Linked DNA regions of Nothobranchius furzeri. The protein of the gene in region 4 interacts with the protein of the main gene of each other region in a pairwise test. Links are inferred from orthologs where the notes say so. Each region holds a gene or a part of one and is shown on either strand. Other genes may lie near its edges. The genes, in order: sugp1, thap1, srpk2, splicing factor U2AF 65 kDa subunit, khdc4 and snrpa.

What was found.
Region 1: the proteins of splicing factor U2AF 65 kDa subunit (region 4) and sugp1 interact in binary tests that used the Homo sapiens proteins (3 or more experiments, as listed by UniProt). The link is inferred for Nothobranchius furzeri from reciprocal best matches to the Homo sapiens genes U2AF2 and SUGP1.
Region 2: the proteins of splicing factor U2AF 65 kDa subunit (region 4) and thap1 interact in binary tests that used the Homo sapiens proteins (3 or more experiments, as listed by UniProt). The two-hybrid records come from large-scale screens. The link is inferred for Nothobranchius furzeri from reciprocal best matches to the Homo sapiens genes U2AF2 and THAP1.
Region 3: the proteins of splicing factor U2AF 65 kDa subunit (region 4) and srpk2 interact in binary tests that used the Homo sapiens proteins (3 or more experiments, as listed by UniProt). The link is inferred for Nothobranchius furzeri from reciprocal best matches to the Homo sapiens genes U2AF2 and SRPK2.
Region 5: the proteins of splicing factor U2AF 65 kDa subunit (region 4) and khdc4 interact in binary tests that used the Homo sapiens proteins (3 or more experiments, as listed by UniProt). The two-hybrid records come from large-scale screens. The link is inferred for Nothobranchius furzeri from reciprocal best matches to the Homo sapiens genes U2AF2 and KHDC4.
Region 6: the proteins of splicing factor U2AF 65 kDa subunit (region 4) and snrpa interact in binary tests that used the Homo sapiens proteins (3 or more experiments, as listed by UniProt). The link is inferred for Nothobranchius furzeri from reciprocal best matches to the Homo sapiens genes U2AF2 and SNRPA.

What each region holds. Positions count from the first base shown.
Region 1 is NC_091751.1:56,746,240-56,749,739, forward strand, and holds part of sugp1 (SURP and G-patch domain-containing protein 1), read right to left. Parts: intron 3,265-3,500; coding exon 3,141-3,264; intron 3,033-3,140; coding exon 2,722-3,032; intron 2,508-2,721; coding exon 2,401-2,507; intron 2,303-2,400; coding exon 2,125-2,302; intron 2,005-2,124; coding exon 1,898-2,004; intron 1-1,897.
Region 2 is NC_091746.1:71,097,268-71,101,432, forward strand, and holds the start of thap1 (THAP domain-containing protein 1), read right to left. Parts: upstream 2,801-4,165; 5' UTR 2,686-2,800; coding exon 2,615-2,685; intron 873-2,614; exon of another isoform or gene 740-872; coding exon of another isoform or gene 738-739; intron 109-737; coding exon 1-108. UniProt on the Homo sapiens protein: DNA-binding transcription regulator that regulates endothelial cell proliferation and G1/S cell-cycle progression.
Region 3 is NC_091744.1:58,288,775-58,292,274, reverse strand, and holds part of srpk2 (SRSF protein kinase 2), read left to right. Parts: intron 1-508; coding exon 509-596; intron 597-809; coding exon 810-897; intron 898-992; coding exon 993-1,099; intron 1,100-1,887; coding exon 1,888-2,053; intron 2,054-3,500. UniProt on the Homo sapiens protein: Serine/arginine-rich protein-specific kinase which specifically phosphorylates its substrates at serine residues located in regions rich in arginine/serine dipeptides, known as RS domains and is involved in the phosphorylation of SR splicing factors and the regulation of splicing.
Region 4 is NC_091745.1:76,204,262-76,208,361, forward strand, and holds the start of splicing factor U2AF 65 kDa subunit, read left to right. Parts: upstream 1-1,300; 5' UTR 1,301-1,522; coding exon 1,523-1,571; intron 1,572-2,639; coding exon 2,640-2,781; intron 2,782-4,100. UniProt on the Homo sapiens protein: Plays a role in pre-mRNA splicing and 3'-end processing. By recruiting PRPF19 and the PRP19C/Prp19 complex/NTC/Nineteen complex to the RNA polymerase II C-terminal domain (CTD), and thereby pre-mRNA, may couple transcription to splicing.
Region 5 is NC_091745.1:76,384,845-76,388,344, forward strand, and holds part of khdc4 (KH homology domain-containing protein 4), read right to left. Parts: intron 2,972-3,500; coding exon 2,911-2,971; intron 2,834-2,910; coding exon 2,559-2,833; intron 717-2,558; coding exon 567-716; intron 1-566.
Region 6 is NC_091753.1:42,104,708-42,108,537, forward strand, and holds snrpa (U1 small nuclear ribonucleoprotein A), read right to left. Parts: upstream 2,639-3,830; 5' UTR 2,512-2,638; intron 2,202-2,511; 5' UTR 2,194-2,201; coding exon 2,118-2,193; intron 2,007-2,117; coding exon 1,834-2,006; intron 1,746-1,833; coding exon 1,587-1,745; intron 1,448-1,586; coding exon 1,283-1,447; intron 1,207-1,282; coding exon 1,118-1,206; intron 962-1,117; coding exon 802-961; 3' UTR 501-801; downstream 1-500. UniProt on the Homo sapiens protein: Component of the spliceosomal U1 snRNP, which is essential for recognition of the pre-mRNA 5' splice-site and the subsequent assembly of the spliceosome. U1 snRNP is the first snRNP to interact with pre-mRNA.

The DNA.
Region 1 (3,500 bases), on a different chromosome or scaffold from region 4:
CGTTTTTAATAGGGTCAGCCCAGTAATGAGCTTGGACCAAAATAAAGGGGGCAGAAAGTCAAATAAAGGGGGGCAGAAGGAGATGTTTTTCCAGATGCCAAGAAAAATTGAATGCCAACCCCTCCCCCCCTGCAAAGTGTGTCACTGAGAGTTTAAAACAAAAATTATTCTTGTGCAAATATTGGTGTATTCACCTTTAATACTAGTTATTAAAATGCAGCAGTTGCCGGATTTGTGCAGTTCAAAGTGGAGTGCATCAAATAAAACAATATTAACATAAAGGTGAGACGTGTCATAGCTGATCTGTCGTGGTGAAGAGGGAGCTGAGCCAGAAAGCCAGGCTCTCGATTTACCAGTTGATCTACGTCCCAATCCTCACCTATGGTCATGACCGAAAGAACGAGATTGCGTATACAAGCGGCTGAAATGAGTTTCCTCCGTAGGGTGGCCGGGCTCGGCCTTAGAGATAGGGTGAGGAGCTCGGACATTCGGGAGGGACTCGGAGTAGAACCGCTGCTCCTCCGGATCGAAAGGAGTCAGTTGAGGTGGTTTGGGAATCTGGTCAGGATGCCTCCTGGACGCCTCCCTGGGGAGGTGTTTCGGGCATGCCCTGCCAGCAGGAGGCCCCCGGTCGACCCAGGACACGTTGGAGAGGTTACATCTCCAATCTGGTCCAGGAACGACTTGGGGTCCTGCCGGAGGAGCTGGTGGAGGTGGCCGGGGTGAGAACGGTCTGGAGCTCCCTAGTTGGGATGCTGCCCCCACGGCCCAGACCCAGATAAGCCGAGGAAGTCGACAACGACGTGTCATAACCCCCCCCACCACCACCACCACATCTGGAAAAATTCCTAGAGGAAACATTGTAGCTACATTTCTGAGGACCCTCAGCTACTTTCTGTGGAACATTCTTCTAAATATTTCCTGCAAATTAGCAACAAAATAGCGATTTTTGCTCCGAACCATTCTTTGGATTGACGCTGTTTCAGCTGTCATCAAGGATATAAACGTTACAGATAGAATCAATGTCACTTGTGCTTCAGCTCACCTAGTAAGATGTCTGACTTACATGCAGAAGAACTGGGTTCGATTCCAGGTGTGAACATAATTTGTTTGGAGTTTCTTTTTTACATTAATGATATATTTTTTTACGGTAATAAGACGCCCAAATTATTATTTGAGACCCACCGAAAGGCACTGAATTCAAGGATAAAAAAGATGTGGGTTCAGCTTTCATTTTGGAACTATTTTTCAAGCAAGGGAGAGAATGATCTGAGCATGCATAAAACTTTGCCGGCTGTGCTGAAGAGAACCAAATTATTTAATTAATTAGCTGCATGTTCTCCTGTCCTCTGGGCCACCCCCCCCCCAACAAACACACACACACTGCACATTCGGCAGGCCGACGAGTAAGTGCAGCTGCAGAGAGAGGCACATTATTTTAATTAATTTGCTGTGTTCTTCTGTCCTCCGGGCAACACGCACGCACGCACGCACGCACGCACGCACGCACGCACGCACGCACGCACACACACACACACACACACACACACACACACACACACACACACACACACACACACACACACACACACACACACACACACACACACACACACACACACACACACAGGACTGTCTCAGCTGTTATTTTCGTTAAGGAGTGTGCACGTACAGCATGCGCACCTCATGCACGAGATTACTTTTGAAGCTGCCATTACGCGTTAGGCCTGAGTGGCGATCGCAAGCATAAAAACTTCAAACTTCCTTAGAGTCCCTTTAAACTACAGATGTACGAAAAATGTTTACTGTAGTAAGCTTGCCCATCTTTACCATAACACCCCTAAATTATATATTTAGTTAAATCAGGCTAAACACACAAATTTAGAGAAGTACTAACTTTGAGTGCTTTAAAGGTCTCCATGAACTTGTCCAGTTCTTCAGGTGGAAGGAAGTCACCAATAAAGTGTTTCCCTTTACCCATCTCTGTCAGAGACTCTGCCCACTCTGCAAATGTTGAAAAGAAAAGGTTTTACGGCAGTAACTAACCGTGAAGCACAAAAATGCTATCATCAACAGATGCTAGAATTAAAAATTCTCGTGAATATGTTTTTATCTGTATCATACCACGCGTCTTCTCCATTTCCATCTGTCTCAGCTGATGTTCCCAGGTACCAGCCTTATCATCCACTTCTTCATCGCTGTCATACTCATGCTGATGTTCTCTCATAGCTTTATCCCACAGATTCTGCATCTCTGCCATTGCACGCTTGTGCTTCATGATCATCTCATACATCTCTTGCATCTGTGAGGAGAAACAATATGTAGGATACAGAGATATAAAACCAAAATTGAGTTAGGGTGTGAACAATAATAATAACAACAACAGCTGTCTGTATCTACCTCTTGTTGTTCTTTGATTTGTTTCTTCTGCTCCTCAGACAGTTCAGTCACTCCAACCAGACCGAGAGGTTTTCCCTTCTTATAACCAAGACCACTCAGCTCCTGGACTGAAAAAAGAAAAATGCCAGTTTCAAATACCGCAGTCGCTACTACAATGTTAGGTTATGTCCCTGACTGTGTGACATTTAAGCAAAAAGGGAAACAAAATCCGTAATGACTTTAAAAACAAAAACACTGGTTAAATTAGCATCAAAAAGTTTGGAAATATTAGCTAATCACATAACGAACAAAAACATTTCAGAGATACTTAAGTTTGCTCACCGGAGAGGGAAGGTGCGTTTGGGTCTGGGATATTAACCTCTGGAGGAATAACAACTGGAGGAATAGGCAGATGAACTTTGTCATCTTCAGAACCCCATCTACTCTTTCTCTTGCGTTTGACAGGCGGTGTTGCTGACTCCTGACTCAGATGCACGGGTGTGCTGTTGAGCAGTGGGGAGATTCCTGGTCGGTGAATGCTTCCCCTAGATTCTTCCACTGCAGGCGAAAAGCTCTGAGAGTTTGTGGCCTGATATTCCCGCAGTTTTTCTCTGTAAAGTTGGTGGGCCAGGCTTTGATGGTTGTACAAAAAGCTAAAAGAAAAGTAGAATGAAGATTATTTTTTGATATTTTTCAGCAAAGGAAGGCTGTGAAAAACCAAAAATGCTTTAGGATAACAGAAGATAGCTTCTGTAAATGACCTGAAGGACGGGTTGTCCCGATTGCGCTCAACAGCGATGGCTTCCACCTCAGGGCCACCCTCCGCCACAAACCTGGCCAGATTCTCAACCAGTTGCTGGGTTTCCTCGTCCACTGGGGGGGAGACTTTAAGCAGCCTATTAGTACTGGGACTCAATTCACACTCTACTACTGTATCGTACTCAACTGGCCCTCACACACCACCAGTCTAGATCCAATAGGGAATAAGAGGAGGAAAGGGGAAGGAGGGGCAAGGAAGGGACAGGGCTGGTGAATGGGGAACTGTTTGGATGTGAGGCTTTGACTACAACAAATAAAGAACAAATAAAGCAAAGACATTTTCTCCCGTGTACAGACAGATT
Region 2 (4,165 bases), on a different chromosome or scaffold from region 4:
TTGGTGAAATGCTGGGAGCAGATGTTGCTGTACTTGGTGGGTTTGAAGTTGTTCCTCCTCATGGCAGCGACCCATTTCCCACAAACATCTGGACGGGCCAAAGGAAACCTGGGAAAACACGTCAAATGGTACAACAGCTGGGGAAGTGAAGTCCTCACAGGAACGTCATTCAGATGAAGACAGGCAGTGTTGGGAACGTTACTTTAAAAAGCAATTAGTTATAGTTACTGATTACTTTGTCAAAAAAAGTAACTCAGTTACAAGATTATAAAAGTAACTAATTACCAAGAAAAATAACTACTTAGTTACTTTTTTCATTAAAGAATGCAAGAATTACTATAATAGTGAAATATAAATGACTAATGACTGGAACATAATAAAACCTGAATAATTTAAATAAATAAGCACTTAACAGGAGGAACTACTAATAGGAACATTACACTTATCTAGACTATTAAAAGGTCTCTGTGTGATATTTAACAAAAACCCAATCAGCTAACATTTAAAATTGCAAATAGAAACACCTGTAAAGGTTCCCGAGCCTTTAAATGGTCTCTCAGTCTAGTTAAATTACAGAAATAAATGTAATTTTCTACGGTATTTTAATTTTTCCAGCTTCACATAATTGTGTGTTTTTAGTAGCATTTCTGTTGCAGGTAATCTAGTAACGGTTAAATAAATAAATAAAATCCTTTAAAATGACACTAGAAGAGGCACAAGCCTGATGGAGGACTTACATTTACTAACTTGGGTCAGACCCAACCACAGAAGAGCTGAAGCTGGGTGGTAAACACACACAGGTAGTTCTGATAACACCTGAGCTCCATGACGTCTGAGACTGATGCATCAGTGTTACAGCGGGACTAAAGACATGATCAGAAACAGGTTACAGCTGGATGATCTAGGAAGGTAGAAGATCAGGACGTCTGAGAGGTGAACAGGTGAGCGGACCTTCGGGACGTCCCGCTGTCACGCTAAGAGCACGGCTGCAGACCCACAGATTCGCTACTGCAGCAGCGAATCATTCATCACGTCTTCCTCGTTCTTCACGGTCCGTGATGCTCTTGGATGAAAACATCTACCTCTTTAGCTCCTGATCAGCTGATGACAGCTTCAACACACCGCGCTGCTTAACGCACGCATTTCCTTATCAGTAACAGAAATGACGTTTTGATAAAAGAAGACGGTAATTAATTAGTTTGCTCGTTACAGGAACACTTTTTTTTTATTAACGCGGTTATTTTAAACGGCGTTATTCCCATCACTGCTCTGTTGTGTCTACAGAATGCAGCGACTGAGACCGTGAGGGTCTCCGCCCACCCGGCCAATCACCATCGTGTTTGTAAGTGCGTTACCGACACCTCTCTCTCCCTGGCTGCAGCTGAAGTGTGGCGGTCAGAAAGCCTCACGCTGCTGCTCAACGTTCGACAAGCACGTGGTAACGGTAACGGCGTTGCAGCAGTGGGAAAAGTAATCAATTAAATTATTCCGTTACCTAAAAAAGAACGCCGTTAGCAACGCCGTTATATTTAAACGTCGTTACTCCCAACACTGAAGACAGGTGAAACAGAACTACCTCATCACTTCTACTTCTAAACACAACTGGGCTCAGTAAAACCGACGGCTGCAGGTAGAAACACGAGAAGATCCGAAACGTCTTCAAGAACCGTCAGGAACCCAAACCATCAGAGGCTGAGAAAAGAAACCAGGTCCAGTGGACTAAAAAGGACCCATCCTGTGAGTCCAGTCTGCTCTAGATCAGGAGAGGATGACGGAGCTTTGGTCTGGTTCTGGTTCTGAGGACAAATCCAGACCGTCTCTACAGCCAGAGATGATTAGCATGGAGGTCATGACCTCCACCGGAAGGAGGACATGTTCTCACTCCATCAGAGCAAAGCACGGTGGTGGTGATGAAAATGAACAAACGTCAACTCAGACAAAGTGACTGATGAGTTCTGGAGGAACCAGAACCCGAGCCAGAACCAGCCTCTGTAGCTGATCTGTGAGAAAGCAGAATGATGAAGATTTTAGTGAAAAAATCCAAAATGATTCCAGCGATAAAATAAACGACTTTTAATAAAAACCTGAGTTTCTCCACGTGACCCGATGACGCCGCATTAATTACAGCAACTTTACTGAAGTACTGAATGTTTATCTAAACACCAGGAAGTGTGAAACACACCTGCGCCGACGCTCCTCCACACCTGGCCTGAGTTCTCTCCACACCTGGTTTTATGCTCCTCCTCACTTGGCTGCTGCTGCTCCACACCTGCTCTGATGCCCCTCCACATCTAGCCTGAGGCCTCGCCACACCTGGTTTTATGCTCCACCAGTCTGGACAACTGGAGGTGTTTCTGTGTTTGTAGAATAAACTGGTCCTAACCACTAGCTGCTCTGGTTTTGCTCCAACATGTCAGACTAATGGGACTACAACACCTGGACACCTGTTGAACAGGTGGTTCCTCTGTGAGGCCGCTGCTCGGACTTCTGCTTCATTCAGCACGAAAACATGAATGAATAGACTGCTGTGACTGAACGAGGCTGTTTCTGAGACCGGACCGAAGCTCGGGCGGGCTAACGAGAGTCGGCGCAGAAACACCGGAGCCGAACTTACTTGTGGAAGGAGACATCTTTGTCTTTGTGGTACCGGTTCTTACAGCCATAGGCTGAGCACGTCTGGACCATTGTTTCATCCCAGAAAACGAACCGAACCTCCGCCAAACCTCGTTGCCGTCAGTCCGATCAGGCTTCACTGCCAATAACAAACATGGCGGCGGAGACAGGGTCACCTGACCCGCGTTCTGCCCCCTGATTGGCCTCTCTTCCTGGTAACTGTCATTTTAGTGTGTGAAGCGAAACTTGTTAGAATTTTTTTTATTATAAATCGTTGCAGATAAAAAAAATAAAAATAAAATAAGTAAAGGATAAAATAAAATAGTCACAGAAGAGCAGTTGGACAAAAAACATCTTTTCTTTGAATGCTTTTAATAACTATCACTTGATTTCATACAAATATCCTTTTGTTGTCTTTTTACCGTGTCCTGTCCGGCTGTGAAGCAACCAGAACTGATGTCTGACTGCTGAAGACGAGCCTTGCAGCTTTATTCTCTCAGGTGGAGCTCACAGCTTCTGCCGTAGCCACTGCTGACACCAAAACTTTATTAGCAACACTTTCGGACACAGAGACAGCTGTGAGAGAAAGGGGGAGAGTGAAGGAAGAGGTGAGGGAGGATGAATTATATAAATAATAAATGATGAAGAAGAATCAGCTTCTGGAGAGAGAGAGAGAGAGAGAGAGAGAGAGAGAGAGAGAGAGAGAGAGAGAGAGAGAGAGAGAGAGCGTGAAAAGGAGACACACAAAAATACAACAAGACAAAACATCGCTGCTCCAACAGCATGAGGATATATAACAGTAACTGCTTATGCTGGGAAGCATACCATAATAATTCATAGTGCATTTAGATATGCAGGCAGACCGAGGCACCGCCCACCGGTAGAACAAGTGGCAGGAGGGTACGCGAAGATGTCGTAACACCTCAAGATGTCTCAGCAGAGGAGAGGAGTCCAAGACCCCACCTGACGTACATGCATCCCTCATGCTTACACACACACACACACACACACACACACACACACACACCCTATTCACTCTGGTCCTGGTACTAGTGATGGGAATGGCTCAGCTCACCAAAAAGAGCCGGCTCTTTCGGCTCCCAAGTGGCTCCTCAGATTTTCTTTTGCGCAGAATACATTTATAACCAAAATAATGCAAAACTATTTGTAAAATGATTTACTAATGTAAAAAAATGCTGTGTATCAAATATTTATCATTTCTATGGATTTAATAACTGAACACTTTAAGAAATCTCCACTTTCCGACTGCTGGCGCTAATTTTCTCACCGTCTTCGTCGCACTCTCCTCTCTCTGCCTTTTTCCTCCTCCTCATTCCCGCTCGCCTCCCTCCGCCCGCATGTGCTCTGCTGTGTGTCTGAGTCTGATCCTCCCTCTTCTCCGCCCCTACTGCTCTGTGTGTGGACAGTCTGGACACGCAGTTACACATGTTGACCAATCACCTGCAGCTTTCACCAAGGCAGGGGGGGAGGGGGAGGGCTCCCATCGTTCACTTCAAAGAGTCGGCTCTTAGAGCCGGTTCGTTCGCGACCG
Region 3 (3,500 bases), on a different chromosome or scaffold from region 4:
GATGACTTGTTAAAGGGGTTAGGGTCATCATAAACTTCACATACTTGCTGGGTTTGGCGCCTGACCTTCAGTAAACAATGATCTCTCCAGTTTTTTGTAAAGTTGAATGAAAACATTTCCACACAAGAAACGTCATCGTTTTAGACTGACAGTTCAGCTCTGAGTTCATTCAACAGTCATATTTCCCACACTCATTAATCTTAGTTCCAGTTCTGGCAGAAATAAGTGAAACAAAGACACAAACATTACATTTTTGTTTGAAACACAAACAGCAAGACACTATAACGTTTTTTAACTGTGACATTTTGGCTACTCAGATATCTCCTGTCCTGTCAGTCCGCAGTAGAAGGATGAATGTGTGAAAGAGGTCTGTCAGAATAGTTTTTGTGGTGTGATAAAAATCCAACTGTTGCTCTAGTGTCTGTGGGAAAGACAGCCAAGCTCAGACGCAGGTTAATGTGGTCAATCATATATTCTGTCACATGAATGCCGTGTGTTTTTACTGCAGAGTGAAGAACTTTGTGGCGATGAAGGTGGTGAAGAGCGCCCAGCACTACACAGAAACGGCCTTGGATGAGATCAAACTGCTGCGATGTGTGAGAATCTGATTGGTTGATTTTGTCCTTTTCTATCTTGTTCTTATAACAGGTCTTTTCATCACACTCCCTGCATTTTTCTGCCACTCTGAATCCTTCCTGCAGCCTTTCTTTTGTCTTCCCACACTCCCGCAGCACCACCACTCCTTTGTGGCTTATCTTTTCTTCCTCCAGCCTGTCTCACCTCATCTTCTCTACGATTTCACCCCCCAGGTGAGAGAAAGCGACCCCGGTGATCCCAACAAGGACATGGTGGTTCAGCTGATTGACGACTTCAAGATCTCTGGGGTCAACGGCATACGTATCCTGATCAGAAATGTGCTCATCGGTGAGGTTGTGTGTGTTTCTGTGTGTCAGAGACGTATGATAATGTGAGTCCTTGACTCCTCATCCCAGATGTGTGTATGGTGTTCGAGGTGCTGGGTCATCACCTGCTCAAATGGATCATTAAATCCAACTACCAAGGTCTGCCGCTGCCGTGTGTCAAGAGCATTATCAAACAGGTGACTGACACACACACACACACACACACACACACACACACATCATGGTTTATTTATTCTGAGTGAAAACCATATTCTGGTCGAGCAGTGACAAATCATGATTGTAAAACCAAAATTTACGAGTCCCTCTATTTGTACAGTGGACCATTTAATAATTCTCAGGCCAATGAAAGAAGAGCAGATACTTGTTTGCTTCAGACTCAAGCATGGCTGCTTTTCTCAGACACGAGCCTCAGAGATTTTTACCCATCAGCCACCTGGTCAGCATGTGATGACGCTGAGTATTTTCAGCGACTGTTGGCCTCTCACAACCTGAGCTGGAGAAGAACAGAACAATGAATGATCTTGTTTCTGTCTCAGTCCCAAAGCCAAAACAGTTGACCTTAAACATTGGTATTTTTGTTTTTGTTAATCTGAAACTCACAAACAGAAAGATGTATTCATTTTGACTAGGGCTGGGCGACATGGCCTAAAATCAGTATCACGATATATCGAGGATTTCACCTCGATGACGATAAACGGACGATAACTAAAGGTACGCGTAGAAACAAAAGTTTTCCACTAGGTGGGGCTGTCACATTTTTACATGACTCAAGGTGGTGCAGCTTCTTAAAGGGACATGGACGTTGCCAACCTACGCACATCTTTTCATTTTTTTTATTATCAATTTTATCGACATGGGAAAAATTATCTCTAAGAGTCAGAAATTTTGATAATGATACATTTTCGATTTATTGCCCAGCTCAAATTTTGACCCAAATAGATAAATGTATGTGTGTTGTCATCAGGTCCTGCAGGGGCTGGACTACCTCCACGCCAAATGTAAAATCATTCACACAGACATCAAGCCAGAGAACATCCTGATGTGTGTTGATGACGTGTTTGTGAGGCGGATGGCCATGGAGGCAACGGAGTGGCAGAAAGCTGGAGCCCCACCGCCGTCTGGATCAGCAGGTAGCAACACACACACACACAGTCAGAGGAGTGGAGGTCACGCTGAATACAGGAACCACAACAGGCAAAAACACAATTTTTATGCTTAAATGTTTCATTTCAATCAAAAGAGGCATGATGTGTCTGTTCTGGTGTTCTAATTCAGCTGAACGCCTCAGAGGTAGTCTTAAAGCTGTATTTAGATTAAAACCGTTATAGCAATGTCTGATTGATAACACTTGAAAATGTGAAGTTTGTGGAGAATAATACAAACCCTTAAAGTAATAAAGTCTTATCTAACCCTCCCACTGTCTTTATGGGTGACCCCACGAGGAAAGCTGACCATTGAGCAGAGTTGATGGTTTATGCCTTGAGGTCCACGTGGCAGGGGTGAGGCGGTCATCACTCCTCACCCCTGCCACATGGACCCAAGGGATGAACCATCAACCCTGCTCAGTGGTACACTTTTCTCGCGGGGTCACACCCATTAGGACAGTGGGAGGGTTTAAGATCAAATAATTTAGATTTGTTTGCAAAGTGGGGACAACTGTAATATGGCAGGAAGCCACCTCATATTCCTAAATTGAATATGATTTAATGCTTTCAAACACCTAATGACTCCTTATCTTTCCCTCTTTACTAGTAAAGCGTTTAGTGCAGAAAATAAATGCACAGATGAGCTTTTAATGTTTCCCTCTGGTACTTGAAACCAATTCCTCTTGCTTTTCCTCTCTTATCTCCAACTTCCTGTTCAGAAGAAAAGAAAGAATCAGGTCTTTTAGTGAAAGTCTGTAGAAACTCTACATGAACCCTGTCCTCTTGGTGAACCTCGCCACAAGCTGTCAGTTACTTACATCAGCCGGTAGTCTGCTTCAGCTTCAGGGTAACCACTTAAACTCCTCGCATTGCTACATTTATAAAACACAAACTCAACCTTCAAAAGTCGCTCAGGTATTTAACAGGTTCAGGCTAAAATGGGTTTAAAGCTGGAGCATGAAAGGTGAAGAAAAGTGTTCCTGTGTCAAATTTATATCTTAACACCATCTTACTTGTTGGTTTCCAGAAGGGCCTCAGTTCTGAGAAACAATTTACTTCCTACAGCACGGATGAGGTCATAACTAGTCTGAGTCAGCCAAGACCAAAGTAGATTAGGACCACATTTAAACAGTCCCAGTCTCCTAACCTTCACCTGTCTCCCTTCATTTGTTTTATGAACGTGTGCACCATCTTTCATCATGCTGCATGTGTTAAAGACACTGCAACTAATACATTTAACAATATAATAATAGAGACATAAAACCCACACCACCTGTAGATCCTCCATCTGAGGACAGACATGTACAGGACTAGATGCAGCAGGTTTTTGTTGAAGATACTAATCCTGACACTCCATTAGGGTACCTTAGGGCCAGAGCCACCACTATTTCATGCTGGAAGCGTCAGCGGTGCGGAACGGCAGCGGAAAAGT
Region 4 (4,100 bases):
TTACTTTATTTTTTCTGTTGTGAACTTAATGTTTATTTAAAAAAATCCCTGTTAATAGATTAAATCTTCATTACAGTTTTTTCTTGCCTTAATCAGAATTTGTATGTTCTTGTAATAAGAGAAACATTCAAATTCCCCTTACCGTTTCATTAATTTCATTTTAAAAAACTATTAAAACAAATCACTTGCAGTATTTTGTGGTACAGATGCACTTTTGAGAGCATGGCACATCTGAAAATAAAATTTATTTTCATTTTTAAATCAATTTAAACAGAATGTGATGACATTCTAGGTAACATTGTGATTGATGCAATTTGCTTTTCTGACTGCATAACTTGTTCCACTGAAGCCTTCCTTCTAAACAGTTTTGGATTATGTGACTAGGTGTCTAAATAGAACCTTTTGTAAACTATGACTGTCTTTTGCCACAAAGCGAACATTTTCTTGTGAAAATCATTGAACGTACACATGTTTTACATTTTGAGAATTAACTAAATTAGATTGACAGTAACTGTTTTCACTGTCTGAAACTGTTTTCACTCCCAAGAATAACACCAGTGAAATATCACTAAAGCAATTATGTTCCTACAAAAATGTGAGTTTTATCAGTAAAATTCAACACTACCCCTCACAGAGGTGAGAATGCAAATGATTCATTCAAAGTACGTAAAATAGTACAATAAAATTCTTGTTTTCTTAAAACGCGTTTTTCTAAAGGTCATTATTTTCAGCATATACATGTGGTCTTGTGACACATAAGCTGTTGTCTGCCTTATTATGACTTGATAAATACACATTAATATGTGCTGAATGTGATTTTTTGAGTGTCTATTTAAAATTTTAAACAATAGTGTGGTCACTAAATCAAAAGTACTTGTAAACTTTCAGTTTACCAGTTTGCAACAGCTGATAAGTTTTTTGCCAGGACGCAATAATCTGGAGAGAATGAATAAAGTGTCTTATGGTGATCGATTTGACGGACAGGGTTGAAGCTCTTATTCTTTAAACGGAAATTTAGCAAGCATCAACTTCCGGTGTCAGGGGCTACTTGCTTAAGGGAGCAAAAGAAGCGGGCGTACCGAAATCTTTGTTGATTCATGGACTCTTAGATTTCTTGATAGCGTATATTTTTGGTTTATAGAGTTATGCAAGTGCTCCTCGTGGGCTAGTGGTCCTCTTGGATTTGCATCTTGCTTGGGGGAAACTCATTAATTCGGCACTCGTAACGGGCCTTTTCTTCTGGTCTTAGCTAATGTTAGCAGGCTAGCACGAGCACGTTTTTGTTTCTTAAGATTTTTCTCTTTTACGTTGTAAAATATACCACACTGCTAATTTGTAAACCCCTTTTTAACTTTTGATATTTTACTGTCACCAAAGGTGTTACCAGAGGCGAACTAACTAAAGCGGTGTAGGCGAATAGTATTGGTATTTTAAAGTGTTGTTCACCTTGTTGCTAGCTTAAGCTAGCTTCCGCCGACTGAACAACGCATCCCCTGAAAGCGTAACAGGCTTCAACCCAGAAATGTCGGACTACGACGAATTCGAAAGACAGCTATCTGAAAATAAACAAGGTAAATAAAACATTTTTATATAAAATATAAAGAAAAACACTCGAATGGAGTTGAATAGTCGCCATTGGATTTACTGTCCGTGGGTATGTCTATTTACAGGGGTTGGCTCATTATTAGGACGTAGCCTTAAAACATCTAACGTGCGAACTAATTCAGACTAACATTTTTTATTTTTTCCCTCTAGTGTCAATGTCTATGGAAGCGGCAAGCTACGTTTGACAATTGATAAATTCATTGTAAAAGTTAAAAAGTAAAGCTGGGCCTGACTAAAACATGGTGCTCGTCGTCCTACGAGGAGTACTTTACATTCATTTGGTAGTGGTGTAGTTGACAGGGAACACTAAAGTGCTGTTTGCTGATTTGTTATTACATCTCATTTCAGAATAAGTCAATTGCGTCTTAAACAAACGCTAATTTAGCGACTTGACCTAAAAAGATCTTTGCAATCAGGGCCGCTTGGTTGTCGTACAGACAACGAGCTAAATGTTGTAACTTTTACATTTAGCTAGTAATAACATCAAATTGTAGACATTATCATCTACTATTAATAATAAAAAGTAATATTTACTAATTGTAAGGTTTTCGATTGTTTTTTAATTATGTTGTTTGAGCCATAATTAGTAACATTTCTAGAATGATTTTAGTAGTTTAGAGTTGTCACGATGATTAGCAAATTAATTATATTTAGTTTATTATAAAAACACAAGAGGGTATTTTTGTACAATTATTTTGGCAGTAATTGATTATAATGCAAAGATGAAATGTGTATTTTAAGATATTTCCCAACACCTTTTGTACCCTAATATGTCCAACCTGCCCACGCACTTGTTATTTTAGATGTAACACAACAATGACAATACCAGGTGCTCTTAGGGTTTAGTTGTTCACTGAGTAATTGTAAGTTTCCATTTTGTTGCTGTATATTATTGTAATTATCCCAATTTCCACCCAAAACAAAATAACTTTCCTGCCTTTAGGAGATACAAGCTTTGACTTCGTATTTTCATATCTGGGCATTCTATAAATGTCAGGCACTTCTGTTGGTTTACAAGATCTTTATCCCTGCAGCTGAAAGGGACAAGGAGAACCGTCATCACCGTCGGTCCTCGTCCCGCAGTCGTAGCAGAGAGAGGAAAAGGAGGAGCAGAGACAGGGACAGACGCAGCAGGGACCGCCGTGGAGACAGTAAGGAGCGGAGACACCGGCGCAGGTTTGTAGCAGTTTATGATGGCGACAACAAACTGTAAAACCTTTATCCTGTCATGAAATTTAAACTGACACAGTGACCACTACAGTCAGATATGAGACGTGTTGATGAAGCATATAAATAGCTACTGGTGCTTGTGCAAAAGTCGGTATTTAAAGTGATATGACTACATATCTCTAAAGTACAGCACATGTCTGGAGTTTGTTTTAATTCACTAATTTATACAAAAAAAAACATTTTTTTTTCTTTGCTCAACAGAAAACAATTATAACACTAGTTTGTCACTTGAATAAATGCACAGGGGCACAGAAAATGAATGTGTTTTAAGTTAAAGATGAAAAGGTCTCTAATTATTCTGGTCAAGAACTCAAACAAGGTGGTATTTCTGCAGTGTTTTCTCTGTATTTTATTTTCACTCTGCTCTTAACTCTTAATTTGGATGTTACTTGAAAAATCGCTTAGTTACTGTTTAATACAGGGTTTTGAACGGTTATTTTTGTCTATTTTCCCCAAAACACATAGCAACAGCTGCTAATAGGGTTGTCACGGTATGAAAATTTAACCTCACGGTTATTGTGACCAAAATTATCACGGTTTTCGGTATTATCGCTGTATTTTTTAAACGGTGTTGCATATGTTCAGAAAGCATTGATAGTCCTGTTCTACACAAACTGAAATAGTTCTGAAAAGGTTTAACAGTGTTTATTAAACCTAAAATAACACAAAGTCTTAGCAAAAGTGCAACTTTTCACAAGTAAAGGAACAAATAGCTTCTTTTTCTGGAACATGTTACAGTAGTCAGTGCAGGTTTAAATTATACAAATCCAAACATTCAAACCATAAACAATATGTAAACAAATCAAAGAAACACCACTTGTTTTCTCATATACTTGTTTTCTTCATTATCAAAATGAAAATCTAAAACTCCAGTCCACACTTGACTTGAGCACTGTACAAGTCAACCTTAAAAAATATGTATTTAAAATAAATAGCCACTTTAAACAAATTACTAAAATAACTACTACACTGTGTAATCAAATCCAAATGTTCAAGTATAAATGGCATTGAATAAGTAAACAAATCAATGACAAGGAACTAATTGTATATTTCTCTTCATCATCAACAAATAAGATGCTTCATCCAGCAACAGGGTGTCCGTGACACGGTTTAAATGCTGGCAGAGGACGCTGCGGCTGCAGTATATAGTGACTCGTTGCATTCTCCCTCAACCAAAAGTCCTCACGTCATGCATTTAAGCTAAAACGCTAATGTTAACTTACCTTGCACTGGCTGTAGAGACGTGGGTGATGGTCACGCAGATG
Region 5 (3,500 bases), about 180 kb from region 4:
ACTAGAGGGGACCTGTCCTTTCAAGCTGTAGCTCCCAGACTTTGGAACGCCCGGCCCTTGTTTCTTCGTGTGGCCGACTCGGATGATTCTTTTAAAAAGCAGCTGAAGACACTTTATTTAGACAAGCTTTTATGTAAGTTGACCTTGTGCTCCTGTCCTGTTTTGCCTTTTTATGTTTGTTGTGAAGCACTTTGTGATTTTATCTGTGAAAAGTGCTATATAAATAAAGTTTTACTTACTTACTGATCATATTTAATAGAAGTCTGACTACACGGGTGTTCCTCGATCCTTACGATAGACACGTCACAACTAAAGCGTAAGAGCGCCTCAGCAGGAAATAGCATGCATCAATCATAAAACGTTGGAATGGAGGAAGGATGAATTATTAAGCTGGACATTTTAGACGGGTCTTAAATACGATTGGCTGAAAGGAAGGAACTCTACACACTGAGGGGGAAATAATGAGAATAAATACATATGGAAATGAAGAAGTGGAGCACCAGGGAGGAGTAAACTCCACTACAGACCCACGAGGAGGTGCGAGTGCAAAAGAACGTTTTCTTTACCTGATATCCAAACAGGCTGCTGTCCCGCTCGTCTGGCACCTCCTCGGTGAAGCGTCGTTTCTGCGGGGGATTGGATGGAGCGGCGGGAGGCGGGGCTTTGGGTGGCACTGCGGCAGGAGGAGGAGGAAAATGTACAGAAGGAAGAGTCTGCTGCACAGAGGAGAAACAGATTGGGCCGAATCAACTCTCAGAACCCAAACAAAGACAAAACGATGACGCATACAAACATTTCTTTAACCTGCATTTTGCAAAATGCTTCTCATTGTCACAATGTCTTTGATTCTTATCCTTAAATTATTTGAAATGCAACAGGTTTAAGGACAAGTGTCATCAGACCCAAATGCAGCCAGCAACGTCTCAGTGAGTCGAGACCTACGGGAGAGTTAGTCGTACAAGTGTCTTAAGAATCTGCTCAGCTGTATATTTGAGTTATCATGGCCCTCGCCTCTGGAACGGGCTGCCGGAGGATCTCAGGGCCGCGGAGAACGTTCATGTTTTTAAGAACAGGCTCTAGACCCACCTTTTTAGTTTAGCTTTAAACTGATTACTATTTATTGCATTGCTTGTTTTACTTATTTATTTTAATCACTGTTGTGTTACATATTTATGTCGTTTTAGTTATATAATCAAATTTTATAGGAAATTTTACTATCCACATTAGCTCTTGTTATTTTACATGTTACGTATTTCATCCTTCCAGTGTTTCCTCTGTGGAGCCCTCTGCCTCAGGACCGGTGGTCGGTGGCGGCGGCTGGGGCGCTCCTTGGGTAGTGCCCAGGTAATGGTGGGGGGTTGTCACCCTCCCTCCCAGGGCACCCTGGATTGGTGTCTTGCTGCTGCTGTGGATCTGCTGCTGTCGAGGCAGATGGCTCCCTTGATGGCGTGTCTTTCATTACCTGTCCAATCTGAGCTCAGCCTAGTGTTTACTGTGGTCTTTTAATGTGGACGAGTGTGTGTGTGTGTGTGTGTGTGTGTGTGTGCGTGCGCCTGGGAATGGTTTGTGGATTGGGGGTGAAACTGTGGGAAAGGGAGGGAATGTGGGTTATATGGGTCATTTTAATCTGTTAAGCACTTTGTGTTGCTTCCTGTGCATGAAAAGTGCTTTATAAATAAAGTTTGATTTGATTTCATATATATTATGTATATATATATAATATATATATAATATATATTATATATACATATATTATGTATATATAATATATATTATATATATAATATATATATATACTTACTATATATATTATATATTTATAATATATATATACATATATTCATATAATATATATATATATTATATAAATATATGTATATTATATATAATATATATATATATATTATATATAATATATATATATTATATAAATATATGTATATTATATATATAATATATTATATACATATTATGTATATATATAATATATAAATATACATAATATATATTATATATATATATATAATATATAAATATACATAATATATATTATATATATATATTTATAATATATATATACATAATATATTATATATATAATATATATACATATATTTATATAATATATATATATTATATATATATATATTATAAATATATATATATATAATATATTATGTATATATATATATATATATATATTATAAATATATATATATATATATATATATATATATATATATATATATATATTATAAATATATATATATATATAATATATATATATATATATATTTATAATATATATATACATAATATATATATAATATATTATGTATATATATATATATACATAATATATAAATATATGTATATATATATATTATATATATATATTATATACATTATATAAATATATATAATATATTATATATATAATATACATATATAAACATGTCAGTTTAGTGGAATGACCTGCAGCAAAAACCCCGTGAGAACTTGTGTGAAACAGATCAGATCTGTAGCAACACATCGCTAACATGATAGCCAAGCCTTACCTGCTGTAGTGTGTCTGGAGCAGGAGCCACAGTGGGAGCAGGAACGGGGGTAGAAATGGGGGCAGGAACAGGTGCAGGGGCCGGGCGTAAAGGGTACTGAGAGGGCACGCCTGAAGGTGCGGCCATAGGTGCAGGTGGTGGGACCGGAAAAGGTGGTGGGACAGGAAGAGGCGTAACTGGTGGCACAGCCTGTGAGTAGGAAGACTGGTATCCAGCTGGAGGGTAGTAGGGAGGCTGAGGGGACACCTCGTTCATCACTGGAGTCTGGGTGAAGCCTGAAGGACAAGACCAGAACATGTAAAACCAGACAGCTAAGTCACCCACACACAAAAAGGTGCGAGTTGTGTTTTACCTTGTTGTGTTGGCATCACTGTGTTCATTTGACTAAGGTAGCGAGAATATTCAGAATGAACCTGGGGAGGAGAGCGTCGTATGTGAGGACTGTTAGGGCTTAAAATGTTCAACAACGAGCAAAGAAAAAATCTGTGCGAGTTATTAAGCTACATCAACACCTTCCAGAAACGACAGGAAATACTTGTTTCACGCAGCAGAACAAAGTCACTTACACCTTCTATTCTTTAGTGTGCAAAATGTTATGTCAGTGGAACATCTGCAGAAGCCACCAGGAGGTACATGTCTGTGTGGCGTACCTTTCACTTTACACGCCTCACTTTGTTGGTAAAAGCTGATAAACGCCTGCGAGACAATCCTCAGATAAAGGAAGCTCTTAAGGTTCTGATCGCCTTGTTTTTCAACTCCGTCTGGACGACGACAAAAGCCAAATATGTTTTCCACCGAACGGCAGAGATGAATAACTTGATAATATCGCTGCCTTCAATTAACACACTGCTGTGTGATCTGTTCTGGTTACGGTTTGCTGATGCTGAAAAAAAACGTCGTCGTCTTCCTCCGCTTATCCGGGTCCGGGTCGCGGGGGCAGCA
Region 6 (3,830 bases), on a different chromosome or scaffold from region 4:
CCGGCACATCTTAGAAAGGCCTCCTCACTGGAAACTTTTAAATCATCTTTAAAGACCCACCTTTTTAGCTTGGCTTTCAACACGTTTTGGATTTCTATTTGATTTGTGTTTTATTTTAGTGTGCTTTTAACCTTACACTGTATTCTATTTTATGCTTTTATGTTTTTATGTTCAGCACTTTGGTCAGCGAGGGCTGTTTTTAAAGTGCTTTATAAACAAAGTTGGCTTGGCTTGATTAAGCAAATGCAACTCTAAACTCAATTCCTTTCTTTGACATTTCAGACAGGAAATGTTGAGTTATCCTTTATGCTCAAACCTGTTCACACACACACACACACACACACACACACACACACACACACACACACACACACACACACACACACACACACACACACACACACACACACACACACACACACACACACACACACACACACACACACACACACACACACACACACACACACACACACACAGCGAAAGAAAGAACAGTCTAGTGTTTTACCAATTCAAATTTTAATCAAGATAAAAAAAAAAGAATAGCTCCAGGTACAATGTCTGGTGGACCAGACACTGGGTGCAATGCTTTAACAGTTTATAATAAAAAATTTAAACTATGAAACAGAAAAACAGAGAAGTGGACACCAAGTTGCGCAAGCATTACAGATTAAAGCCAAACCATTGCACAAAGTTAGAGCTCCCAGTTTTTCACTCCAACTTTCTTAACAGCAACTTGACTCAGATACTTACATGTACGGACATGTATGCAAATTAAATCAGGACCTGGTGGAAGATGCGTTATTTCTTGGCAAAAGAAATCTTCATGGCGTTCGTCTGAGTGATCTTAAAGCCCTGCAGAGCATCTCGTGCCGCGCCAGCCTGCACCTCGTTTTCAAACTCCACAAAGGCGATGTCGTGACGACCAGGAACAAGACGCACCTCTTTGAAGCCGGGAAACCTTTAACGCACAGAGCAGCTCAGTTACAATTACAGAAAAAACAGTTTGAGAGAATTAAATTCTCAGATTATTTGCAATGTTAGCATCACAAAACAGTCAAAGTTGATCCATTTTTACGCATCTGTTTAAATGTATGACTAGAAAATGAGTACTGACTGGTTGAAGAGCATGGACAGCATGAGTTCGTTCGTCTCCTCTGGCAGGTTGGTGAGAAAGAGAATGTGGTTGGGTGGATTTTCTGAAACCTGTGGGAAGAGAGTAAGGATTAAACTACCAGGACAGGAAACAAAACGTTCTGTGAGGAAAAAGAACACAAGCTACCTGCTGAGGCATCTGTCCTGGCATCATCTGACCAGGAGCAATCCCACCAGGAGGAATCTGGCCTGGAGCCATCCCAGGAGGAGGCATCATTCCAGGAGGGGGCATGTAAGGTGGCTGGCCTGGAATGTGCATCATGCGAGGAGCCTGGTTCATTGGTGGCATTCCCTAAAGAATGACAAACGTTTAGTTTCTATTCATGTTAATTGAGCTTTTAACTCTTAATGCATCTAAAACCTGCCGTTACTTCACTAACAAATATCTAGATTGTTTAACCATGATTGTAAAAAACACCTAGTGCACTCACTGGGATTGCAGAAGGTACCCCAGCAATCGCTGCAGCATTTTTTTTACTTCCTGTAGATTCAGGTTTGGGCTTCTTCTTTTCTTTTTTACGGTCACGCTCCACAAAAGTCCCCTTCATCTTAGCTATAATATCCGAATCCATTTTAGAGTACTGGATTCGCTGCAAGAAAGTATATATTTGAGTCACACGTGTACTTCCATCAGAAATGTCTAAATTGTGCATTATTAAACATGTTTAATAGACGTACCATAGGTTTATCATAGAAAGGAAAACCCTGCATGGACCTTAATGCATTAGAAGCGCTGTTAATCTCTTTAAAGATAACGAACGCCTGACCCTTCATCTTCAGGTTTCGTGCGACCAAAATGTCCAAAATTTGCCCAAACTGAGAGAAGATGGCATAAAGGGACTTCTTCAGCTCTGAGGGAGACACACAAACAACAAATAATCAATAACAATAATAAAGGAGACTTTGCATTAATTGTGCGTGAAATAAACAAAGAAAAGGAAAGAAAATGATGCGAAACTCACCATCTTTCTTTATCTTCTCGTTTAGGTTGTTGATGTAGATCGTGTGATTGGGGCGCACCTCTGCTGGAGTGGTCATGTTTAAGGCTAGGAGAATAAATAAAATAGCTAAAAATAAAATAAAGACTCAAACATGTGCTTATTTTCACGCAGTTTCAAGTCCAATTTCATTCAAAAATCCAGCATCTAAACGCAATGGTAACAAACATGGCGGAAGGCAACAACAGCGTGTTAGCTAAAAGCTAACTAACAGCATTTAGCGTCATTAATCTGCCTAAATACTTCTACTAGTTCCAACGTTACCTCAAATCGTTTAAGCTTGTCAAAAATATTTTAAATCAACAGTTAAAATGCACTTAACCATGTAAAACGCGTTAGATGTTGACGTAGTACCAACCTGAAATTGAATGAAAGCTCCGAGACTTTTTTCCCCAGAAAACAAGAGGAAGAAATTCTTCTTCTTTGTCTTATTTGTTGGTTACCAAACCGTTCTGGTGAATTACCGCCACCACACGGTGTAAATCAAAATAGCGAAACTCAAAACACCATTTAACTTACAATGGCTAAAACTAAAATGGTTTTTCTTCTTATTTACGCTGCTCTGGGTGGCTGCATGTTGGAGTAGCTCTGTTAACTATATGTAAGTTTAGCCTTTTCTTGGACATTTTTTCTTCTAGTTTCTCAAGAAAAACGGTATTTTTTTGGACACTTTACTTTTCTGTTTCTGGTGCTGTGAAGCTTGGAGGACTTTTGCTGCTATTGTTTAGGTTTTTTCACTTTTTGAGCATTTGTTATGATGCGTAACCATGGCAACAAGCTGGTTTACAATCGGGAGCAGCTGTTTAACATTGAAAAGGCTGAAATAATACCTCAACTGACGCGACAAATCCCAAATTAACTAAAACGCAAGAAGCGTGGGTGCAGAGCGGGAGCAAAACGGAGACAGAGAAAGAGGAAATTCAAACCATCTCTCCCATCGATCATAATGGGCAATGTGAGATCACTGGCCAACAAGATGGAGGAACTCCAAGCCCTTTCAAGGACTCAGTCAGAGTTTCGGCACTTTCTGAACCACTGGAGGAGATAATGCAAAGAAGGATTCTCCAGAGAATCAAGAAAATTATGGACAACCGTGAGCATTCTCTTCACAAGACTGTCCGACAACGGAAGAGTGTCTTCAGTCAGAGGCTTCTTCAGTTTCGCTGCAACACTACTGGAGATCCTTCCTGCCAACAGCCATTGTAATATACAATAACTCTTTGATGACTTGATTATTATTATTATTCTGAGATACTACAGCAATCAGTTTCCCCCTGGGATTAATAAAGTATTTTTGAATTGAATTGAACAGTAAATCAGAAATACTGGAAAAACATGACGTCAAAAAAAGGCAGAGTAGACAACCTAAGAAGAATAACAGTAACTTTACAATAAGGTACGTAAAATTATGCTTCGTAACTAGGGAACGACTTAGGGAGTAATGAGTAATGAAGCAGGGAAGAATAGGTAGTTAACCAATACATACTGGTGAAAACCCAACAGTTTTATTCAGGGACTAATCTTTGAACGCATTAAGGAACAAATCCCAAATGAATGTAGTGCCTGTGGACTTTTTTTTTTTGTAAACTTCATGAACAATGCAGATAATTTGCAACATCACAGTGATTTAACATCACTGTTTCATCTTGACTTCACACGTCTGTCACTTTTTTGTCC